3 linked regions of the Coturnix japonica genome follow. The protein of the gene in region 3 interacts with the protein of the main gene of each other region in a pairwise test. Links are inferred from orthologs where the notes say so. Each region holds a gene or a part of one and is shown on either strand. Other genes may lie near its edges.

Region 1 (3,750 bases), on a different chromosome or scaffold from region 3:
GCAGGGGAATGATGTGAAGTCAGGACAACGGTGCCACTTGTGAAACACTGCACAGAGAGAAGTGAAGTGTTTATGGCCAGCTGGCCAACAAGCAGGTGGTGCCAGGCGTGCCCATAAAACCCAGGGTGGGGGAGGTGACACAGAGCTCACATGTGGGTGCTTAAGAAGGGGTGGCTATACGTGTCCTGGGCTGCATGACACACGTCACAGGTATGATGCAGTGCTGCCCATCTCTGTTGTGAACACAAACAGTGGAGCGTGGGTGACAAGATAAGTGGTCTCATTTATAGTGAGATCCAGGACACGAGCCTAACCAGGTAATGCAAATGGCAAGAAGGGCATGGCTGGTTACAGACTGAAGTGTGTTTGTTGACACTTGCAGGGCTCATTAGATATAGTATGAGGTGTTTTGAGTGTCCCTTGCCTTTGAGGGTAGAGTGGGCACTCAGCACCAGACAGGACAGGGTGAAGACTGATCCCACTCAAGGGATGCAGAGGTTGGGGGACACTCGGTACATATGCTGCACAGCCGTGGCCCTTGCCCTGCCATGTCGTGAGCTGAAGTGTGTCTGTGGGTTCCCAGAAAATAGCAGTGATGGCAGTGAGCACAGCAGGGTGCACACAAGGGGAGCTCCTGTGGAAGGAACAGAGCGATCTCCAGTTTTGAAGGTTTCCCACAGCAGAATAGAAACCATCTGTGTTATACCCTTCTGTCTTGTAGCCCCCCTTAAGATGCTGAAAGGTCGCCCTCAGGTCTCCCTGGAGCCTTCTCCTCTCCAGGCTGCACAGCCCCAGCTTCTCAGCCTGTCCTCCTCATAAGGAGGTGCTCCATCCCTTGGATCACTGTGGCCCTCCTCTGGCCGCGCTTCAACAGGTCCGTGTCTCTGTTGTACTGAGGGCTCCTCAAAAAAAGACAGACGAAAAAAGCATGAAACATCACTCCTAGCAAACACAACGGGAACCCCCATCGAACAGCAGCTATTGGGGCAGGCCCAGGAGCCCCCAGCACATCCCTCCCGCACGGCAGCGCCGCCTCCAGCCGTGAGGGCTCGGTGTTGTCCGCAGGTGAGGCGGCCCCACGCAGGTGAGCGGCCCAGGGGAGCGGGGCGGCTTCGACCCTCGGCGTCCTGCGGCCTCGTAGGCCATTGACCTCTGCTGTGGCTGCGGAGCAGGCCGGCAGCCGGGCACGGCTTCCCATCCACCTCCTCCTCCTCCTCCTCCTCCCCCGCCGCCGAGCTCCCGCCCCCGGCCGGCCCCTGTGGCGCTGACGTGCGGGCGGGTGGCCGGGCCGGACCAGGCTGCGGGGGGCGGCGCAGAGCGGCGCGGCGGTGGCAGCGGGGAGCGGAGCGGCGGCCACAGCAGCAGGTAACGCCGCGGAGCCGGGGCCGTGCTGCAGGCCGGGATCCACTGCCCTGCTCGGCGGCGGGTGGAGGCGGCGGAGGGGCCTCTCCTCGCCGGAGCGTCCCGGGCGGCCACGGGGCAGGTGCGGGCGGCTCCCGCGGGGCCCGGCAGCGGGGCTTCGGGTGGGGGTGTGTGCGAGAGGGGCTGGCGGAGTTTTGCGGCAGCAAAGGTGGGCAGAGCGCGGAGCGGGAGTTGGCGGAGCCGGGAGTGGCCGGGCGAGGCCGCCGTGCGGTACCGGGAGCCGGGCACGGCCTGTCCCGGGGAATGCGCGGAGGTGCCGGCAGCCCCGCGGGGGGCGGCGGCTCGGGCGGTTCCCCGGCTCGGCCGAGCGGAGCCGGAGTCTGACGGGCGCCTTCCTGAGCGCTCCCCGTAGGAGGAATTCATCCCAGAGCTGCCTTATCAGGTGCTGCTGGGGCTAAAGTGCTTTCTCCTTACTTCCTTAACTGAAAAGTTATTAAACATCCCTCCTCCCTCCCGCCGCCGTCCTAAGTGTAGCTCTGTATAATGCCGTGCATTCCAGCTAACGCTGAGTTTTATCCACACTCCCTTCAAAAGCAATTCTGTGCTCCTGGGATTGTCCCCGTAAAGGAAAGAAACTCTTTGCGGTCTTGTCTGGACAAAACTGGGCATGGTGTGAACTGCAGTGAAGTGCATCTCCTCTCTTCTGCCCGAGTGCTGTGGCAGGCTGCCTATGGAAAGCAGTGTGTGCCTATGGCTGATACGCTACAGAAACCCATCTCTGACTTCTTCTATTTACATCTGTTACTAAATAGGAAGAATTAAAAGTGTCTTCTTTGTTAGCTGTCACTTGAAGACGGCTCACAGTGTTACTGTAGGTACTGCTGATGCTTGCCTGATACTGGGCAATCACATTCCTGGCTAATAAATCCTGATGCTACCAGATACCTATAAAATTGAAATACCTGAATTAAAAGCTTATAGATTACAAGAATGCGTGGTTGTTACCTATTATTTCATTTAAACATTGCTGCTTGTCAGCCCTTTTCTACAGCATGTCATGCCTCCAGCCTTGGTATCCCACTGTATTCCTGAAGGAAATCAAGCCATGGAGCCATCCCGTAGCTTGCTGGCACTGCAGGCTCAGCATGGCCTATGGACTGGGTGAGCAGGTGCTGGGGGACAAAGGTTGGCCACTGTGTTCAACCTTCCTTTATTCCAAGTGTGGCATATTAACCAAGGGCAGGGATGGACTCCTGAGTTAACATTAACCTGCAGCCTTTCTTCTGCTGTCTTCTCAAGACAAAATACAATGCTAGGGTAAAGGCTGAGGGACAATAGAAGCGATTAAATGATAAAACTTGTGGAAATGTATAAGCATAAGCAAATGCCACCTTATGATGCTTGCTCAAGTGCCATAAAGCTGTACTAATGTGCAGGTTAGATTTGAAGTATATGTTTTATAAAGTAACTGCAAGGAATAAAAGTGTAAGAGTTTATTGCTGGGGTGGGATGGTAAACATCAGAATTGTTGGAGCACTGGTTAGTAAATACAACATAGGAGAGGTTTCAAAAGTAGAAGTTAGGATTTAGTTTGCCTATATTTTTAGTGGCTGTGCTTTTAATTTGTGTAAGTTACTAAATGATTCTGTGGCAATACAGTTGTGTCCCTCTGAAGCTATAAAGCCCGCAGAGTGAATGTAAAGGTAGAGAAGTTTGCTGCAAGGCTCACTGACATCATGAAGTAAGAAGCGCTTCAGTAGTAGCTTGTAGAAACTGCAAATTGAGCTTGTTTCCCTCACCTTGTATTTCTAGTTGGGTGGGTGTCTGAGTGTAACCTGTCCTGAACTCTGAGTCTGGGATTGCTACCTGCTGGTATTTGATGGACACAGTAACCATAATGATCCTGTGGATGTGCCATCGGTGTTTGGACACAGTAACCATAAAGGTCCCATAAGGAAAGTCAACTCCTGGCTCCCCACGCCTGTTCTGCAAAGGCAGCCTTGTGACTCCCTCTAACCTTCATGCTCTCTTGGTGTTTAATAATGCTGATCTGAGAAAGACCTTGAAATGTTTTGGCAGAGGAATTACAGTGTATGGTGATGTGAGCGATGTGGCCAAGGTGAGAAGGGAATAATTCTTTACTGTCGCTTTCAGTACGAAATGCCAAAGCAGGAGATTAAGCTGGCAGGTTCAAAGCAAACAAAAGGGTGTTTTTTACTTACCCAATGTGTAGCTACTTAAGCTTTGGAAATCCTTTCTGAAGCATGTGGATACCGAAAGCTCAAAGGGACAAAAAAAGCAACCGGATGAATTCATGGAAGAAAACTCCCCTGAGGCCCATCCTGTAAAGCTGCTGTGGCTCAGGGGTTGGCCACAGGTGGAGCTGGG
Region 2 (2,591 bases), on a different chromosome or scaffold from region 3:
CATGTGTCAATAAACCACATCTGAGAGCAGAGCTGGAGTCAGAGGAACAAGGTGTGACATGGCACTGGGTGCTGCTGCACAGATGGGTTCATGCATTCCTTTAGCTACGAGTGGGATCCGGCTCTGCATGTTCTGTTAACCAGATCAGGAATGATGTACATCACTGTTTTACATGGTGGACCAAAAATGAGAAAGCCATCAAGAAAACCACAGTGTGATTTAAGAGATGAGAGCAAGCCCTCTTGCAGGCAATCCAGCACCTCATCTAATGGGGCCATCAACAGTTACATGGCTACTCTGATTAATTAGTTTTAGAAAGCAAAATCTTCCAAGTGGGGAAACGCTTCCATTTAGCGGAGCAGCGCATTTAGAAGTGTGATGATCAATAGCTGGGATGCACTGGGCAGGGCCCATCAAAGTCCAGCTCACTGCAGGGGAAAGGAACAGAACTGATCTGATAAGCAGGATGCCAGAGCAGGGCTGGCAGCCAACAAGGCAGGTGTCTCAGTGATACCCTGACAGCACTGAGTGCCTGTAGCCCCTGGCACAGCCCTGACACAGCTCAGACAAATCAAACCAGAAGTGTGTGGGTTTCCAGAAGGATTTATTTATCTAAGTCATGTCCTGTGATAGCAGTAGTGTATAACGTTGTGATAAACCGACACCGAGAGGATTTAACAACTTGGTCGTTTAATAAGTGATTTTCACTACATGGTATTGTACACTGTCATCTGTTCAAAAAAGGTTCTCAGTCTTTAAAAAAGAAGATACCGTCAGGTACCTGCACCAGCCGCTGAGCAGTGCCTGGGTTGGCTCTGCGAGCTGCTTCCTGGGCGTCTCCATAGGGCAAAGTCTTTAGGCCAAAATGCACAAAGCCATTCAGGCAGGTGTGGAACCGTTCCTGTAACTTCCAGCTGTGTGACACGGCTGCCACGGGGCTGATGCAACCGTAACAAGTCCATTGGATACCACAAACTGTACAAAAGTGTTTAATTTTCCCATAATAGAACAAACAGCACAGCATTTCTACTGCTATTTCAAGTCAAGACTTCCTTTTCTCTCCGCGAGGAAGGCATGAATGGGAAGCCCTGCCAGCTCAGCGCGGTGGGTCACATACGTACAGTTTTTCTATGCAGACTTTGGCTTCAGGAAAGACACAAACACTTGAAATAATGGCTTTAGGTGTCACTTTGGGACAGGGATGTGTGTGTTTCCATTAAATATACATCATACCGGTGATGCTGGGGAGGTTGAAGGCTATTCCTAACGCTGACAGCGATAAAACCAACGTGTACAGGACAAGACGTAAAAAGAAAAGCAATCCCTTTAAAACAAATCTGAACGTAAAAAAAAAGTTCACAGTGGTTTGTATAAACAGTAAGTCATCTCCAACAGTAACAAACTCTACTCTCACAGCACACCAGTGCCCTCTTTAGATCCTAAAGGAGAAAACAAGCATTTACACTAATTGTACAGGTTGAGAAAGTCAGTCGTACGGTTACCCATCATGACAGGATCGATGCTGCGGAGCGTGCAGCCCAACACCAACAAAAGGGAAGCCTAAAACTCTTTTTCTTAGAAGGGAGAAAAGTCCTTCATTTGCTGTTACAACCAGCAAATGCCATTCATCAAATCAAAAGGGAAACCACAAACACGTTCTATTGTGAGCAAGCTGAACAGTACACGTTACAGTTTAAAAAGGAAGGTTATATATTATAATACAAGTCCCAACCAGGCAGTGCCACGTGGACTATTTCTTGGCTTGCTTTGTGATCATACTCCTGGGAGGCGTTACAGGTCTGCTGGCGTTGGGCTTTTTCTTCTCCGCGGGTTTCAGGATCTGAAAAAGACAGTTCAGTCATTAAGCAAAGTGCTGGCTGCCCTACACTCCACTCAACAGCCCATTTGGTCGTGTAAGGAGCTACGCAGATCATCTGGGCAGCTCATAAGCCTCTGAAATAAATGGGTTTTCTGCTCTGAGCTCTGTTGGGGCTTAGAGAGCAGCTGACCAGAGGGCCCATGCCAATGGAAGCAGGAAGACAGCTGATAGCTTTGCTCCAGCTATTTAATCCCAGGGTCAAACAGTTCATCTACTCACACCAGAAAGGGCTTATCACATTTTTAAAGCCACAAGGGCAAACACAGCTCTGCCTACACTCAATACGTGAGATCTATTTGAAGCAGGTGTTACAGGTGTGCGATGGCACAGTATAAATGGAAAAGATGAAACAAAGTGTTACTGCAATAACTGGGAGGTAAAGTTGTCAGATACAATACCTGAAAAGAACACATTAAGGTTTCATCCACGCTCATCATGGCACCTGCGTTATCAAACTCTCCACAGTAATTTGGGGCAGAAAAGAGAGTTACCAACTGTCTTTTTGCAAAGAACTCGTATCCATCTTCCACAACCTTTGGAGAGAAACACAAATTACACCAGGCAATTTCCTCCAGACAAAGTACAGTGAAACGCAGCTCTAGCAGAGTCAGCAGCTGAAGAAACAGTCATAGCCAAGGAGCACCAGTCCTAGACTTTCACCCCCAAACTGGGAAAACATCACAAGCTCCAGCTCAACAAGGTCCATCAGCAA
Region 3 (3,750 bases):
AATTCACAGCTCACCTTACGTGTCCCGTCATTACAGCATAGTGCTCTGACGAGTCCTTTAATGACACGGTGCCGTAACTCCCCAGATAGTATCACAACATGTTGTTATCAGTAAGTTACATCAAAGGCTTAGCATTCAATTAGGACAGGGCGGGCTCTGAAATGAGGCAGTCTGCCGTGTTTAGAGTGCACTGAATTGTTCTGGCTGTTGAAATGAGAACACCCCTGCATTGCAAACCTGCTGACAGGCTGCAAACGAAGCTTTAAGCTTCAGGTCTGCAGCTGCTGTGAACCTCGGGGTGATTTTCTTGTGGAATTCGCATGAAGTCAGTGTCAGATCTCAGAAGTGTCTGAGCTGAGCTGTGCCCACAGCACACGGCGCTATTTGCACTGCGGTATGAGCTGTTTGTACCTCAACAGCAGCGATGCGCAGTGCCCGGCTTGGCGCCTGCTCTGGAAGGTGACGGGCCGCAGCAAGGCGTGCTGCTCAGCTGCTGTCACAAAGTACCTCGAGCATTAGCAGGAGCAGAATAAACAACGGAACATTGTCTCCCACCTTATTATCCAGTTAAAATATTTCTGGTGGAAGAAAAGCTGATTCAGACACGTCAGATGTGAGCCGTTGGTAGCGCAGTTACCCCAGGCCGCACAGCCCGACCCGCTGTCCCGTCGGTCCCGCGCGCGGGTTCAGGCGGGCTCCTCCCGTAGCCCCGCCCCCATGCCCACGGTGCCGGCTGATTGGTTCCGAGCTCCTTCACTCCAGGGGAAGCCCCGCCCCCTCCGCGCGGGTCGTGTGTGCTGATTGGCAGACGCGCCGCTCCGTTCTCGCGCCGCAGCCTGCGCTGGGCCCAGCTCGCCCCGTGCGGTGCGATTGGCGGATCTGGCCGTCAATCTCGGATCCGCCCGGTCCCGACCGGCGGTCCCGCCCCCCGAACACGGGACGCGTTTCGATTGGCGCAGCGGGCTGTCGGTCAGCAGAGCGCCCGCCCCTCTCGGTCAGGTAGCCCGGAAGATGGCGGCGGCGGCGGCGGCGGCCGGAGGGGCCGTGTGAGCGGAGCGGGGACGCCTATGCCGCGTGGGCCGCGCCGCGCAGGCGGGGAGCAGCGGCTGCAGCAGGAGCTCCGCGGAGACGCTGAGAGCCTCGAGCCCCTCATTGGGCGCCGAGCCGCGGCCCGGCGGCGGAGGACATGAGGCGGCGCGGGGGGCTCGTCCCGGCGGGCGGGCGGCGGGGGGGCGGCCCGGCCGGGCTGGCCGTGCTGCTGTCGCTGCTCCTGGGGAGCGGCCGGGCGGCTCCGCTTCCGCTGGCGGCAGCAGGTGAGACACGGGGGGCGGCGCGGGGGCTGCGGGGCGCGGCTGAGGCAGCGCTGTCCTGCCCCGCTACGAGCGGACGCGGCTCCCGAGACCCCGCGTTGCGCTCGTGCCGCGCTGCGACCTGTTGTGCAGCGGCCGCCCGTGTGAGCCGCGCTGATCGCGCCGTGCTTCCCCCGCTCCGATCGATGCGGTGCTCCCGCCGGGGCCGCGGCTCCTGGGGGCGGGCGGCGCTTCCCTCGACGGGAATGCGGTCCCGGCTGCTCGGCCCCGCGTTAGGTAACCGGGCGGCCTTCGAGCCCTTGTCTTCCTGTTTATCTCAAGGCACGCACGGGCGGTGCGTTCTCCCATTCTCACGAATCACTGCGGGGAGGTTTATTTGCTCTGATAGGTAGCAGTCGCCTCAATCATTCACTCATTTTTTTGTGCTTTATTGATACTTCTGAACGTAAAATTGAATTGGGACTGAATTCCGTTGGGCTCGACACAGATATGCGCTGGGGTTGAGTTGTGTCGGTGTAGCTTGGAGCAGCTGGACGGGGCAGGGCAGCAGTGCGAGGGGAGCTGTGAAGCTCAGCGCTTTGGTTGCTGTTCCACAGAAAGTATCAGGGCTGGATGTGGATCCCACCCTTGTTTTGGTTTTGGACCTACATTCTTGCCATTTGTTTCCTTCCCAAGGCAATTTCCATTGTTGATGAGTTATTCCTTCTGTCCGCCTGCCTCGAGGCTGCTCCTTCTAAAAGAAAGTTCTGGGAGAAATGAAGGCCCTGAGGAGCCCTGGGTCACACTTGTATTTTCTTGGAGGCTAAATTCTAGCTTTCTCATTTATGAAATATGTGAGAAATTTCCCAATGATGCTGCCTTGTTGTCAGGCCATGAGGGAGGGCACAGCAGTTCTGGGCAGCAGGCTTTTCCTTCTTGGTGTCTGTTCTTGTCCTGAAGTGTTGTTGGTTTTTCTGTTTGAAGGCAGTGTCAGTGCAGGCACTGAGTGTTCTCAGAGTAACCCATGAAATGAGAATTGCTCTGCTATCAAGACTGCACCACGTATCCTCCAAAGCTCAGAGATGAGGATGTAGCTTCTCTGATGCTGTCACAGACCTGTTGCAGTGGGAAGTCACACTAAGCAAATCGCACTTTTGAAGCAGCCTCTGCTATATTGTCACTTTTTCCCTCCTGTGTCCCATGGAAGTCGCTTTGATTTCCTGTGTTGGGACTGGCAGTCGTTGATGACTTTCAGAATAAATAACAGACCCCGCTCTGAACCTTTGCAGCCCTCTCAGCTCACCAACACACACAACCTCCTGCTTAAGAGTTGTAACGTTAGGAATAATTTCATGGACATTTCATAAACTAGTGATGGGTTTTGGAGTTAATTCATGATCCCCCAGTTGGGCACCTACCAGGATGGGCTGCTTCTCTGATGGTGGAGAAGTATTTTGATGTGCCCAGCCTCGAGTGCTGTGCTGGAAAGATGGTGCTCAGCAGAAAAAGGAGGAAAGGAGATGTTGTGGGAGGTGTTTGTAGTGACCACTGTGGAACAGCTCCTGGAATGTGCCCATGATGAAGAGATTTCTCTTTTGGAGGCAGTTGGGGAGCAGGAAGTGGCAATGGATGGCAGATTCTGGCAAGGCTGGCTTGGATTCCTTGTTCAGAAACGTTCCGTTTTGTGGATCTACTGTGGAATTGCAGCAGTTGGTGTCTGGGGAATCGTCGTGTTCCAAGTGTCTTCATCATGATGCAGCTTGTACTTTTAGGTACGTCTTCACGGTGTTTGCAGATGAAGGTGTGCCCTGATGGCGTGTTCTATATTTGTCTCCCATGTTTGAGGCTGCATTTATGAAGTTGCTAGGAAAAAAATAAAAAGGAAATGGTAGAGGAAGGTTTTTGTCGTTGCCCTGATATGGTTCATAGCAATTACTGTAGAAAATAGGAAAAACAAGATGTTGAAGATGCTACTAGCTAGAAACAGACTGACTTAATTTGTTCAGTCAGTGGGAAAGGGAAGGTACTGGGATGTGCTGTGACTGTTGTGAGTACCAGAGTTCACCTGCTGGAGCTGCAGACAGGTCTAACTGAGACCTGCCTCTGTGGGGCCGCTCGGCCTGACCTGCTCCAGCTTGGAGCAGCTGGTAGAATGAAGTATTCAGCTGTTCTGAGCCTGTGGAGCATTAGGTGCTCTACCTGAGTGCATCAGGCCAAGATGATCGTCCTTTATAGCATAGTGTAGCTGATGTATTTCTATGTGAGAAATGCTCTTTAGCAGTAATTTTTGTGGACAAACATACTGCATCATAATCTGACACTTCTGCTTTGCTGTGCTAAAGCTTTACATTCTAATTCAGACTCTCTCTCTCATTTTGACTTGGATTTTCATACTTGACCTTAATTCAGCTGCCTCTCCAGAAAGCTGGGAATCAGAATCAAGGGTATGTGTTAGCATCAG

What was found.
Region 1: the proteins of LMTK2 (region 3) and MYO6 interact in a two-hybrid assay, tested with the Homo sapiens proteins (2 studies listed by BioGRID). The link is inferred for Coturnix japonica from reciprocal best matches to the Homo sapiens genes LMTK2 and MYO6.
Region 2: the proteins of LMTK2 (region 3) and PPP1CC interact in binary tests that used the Homo sapiens proteins (3 or more experiments, as listed by UniProt). The link is inferred for Coturnix japonica from reciprocal best matches to the Homo sapiens genes LMTK2 and PPP1CC.

The regions. Positions count from the first base shown.
Region 1 is NC_029518.1:73,467,023-73,470,772, reverse strand, and holds the start of MYO6 (unconventional myosin-VI), read left to right. Parts: upstream 1-1,294; 5' UTR 1,295-1,365; exon of another isoform or gene 1,366-1,483; intron 1,484-3,750. UniProt on the Homo sapiens protein: Myosins are actin-based motor molecules with ATPase activity. Unconventional myosins serve in intracellular movements. Myosin 6 is a reverse-direction motor protein that moves towards the minus-end of actin filaments.
Region 2 is NC_029530.1:5,178,898-5,181,488, forward strand, and holds the end of PPP1CC (serine/threonine-protein phosphatase PP1-gamma catalytic subunit), read right to left. Parts: intron 2,413-2,591; coding exon 2,278-2,412; intron 1,841-2,277; coding exon 1,751-1,840; 3' UTR 588-1,750; downstream 1-587. UniProt on the Homo sapiens protein: Protein phosphatase that associates with over 200 regulatory proteins to form highly specific holoenzymes which dephosphorylate hundreds of biological targets.
Region 3 is NC_029529.1:1,153,563-1,157,312, forward strand, and holds the start of LMTK2 (serine/threonine-protein kinase LMTK2), read left to right. Parts: upstream 1-999; 5' UTR 1,000-1,186; coding exon 1,187-1,313; intron 1,314-3,750. UniProt on the Homo sapiens protein: Phosphorylates PPP1C, phosphorylase b and CFTR.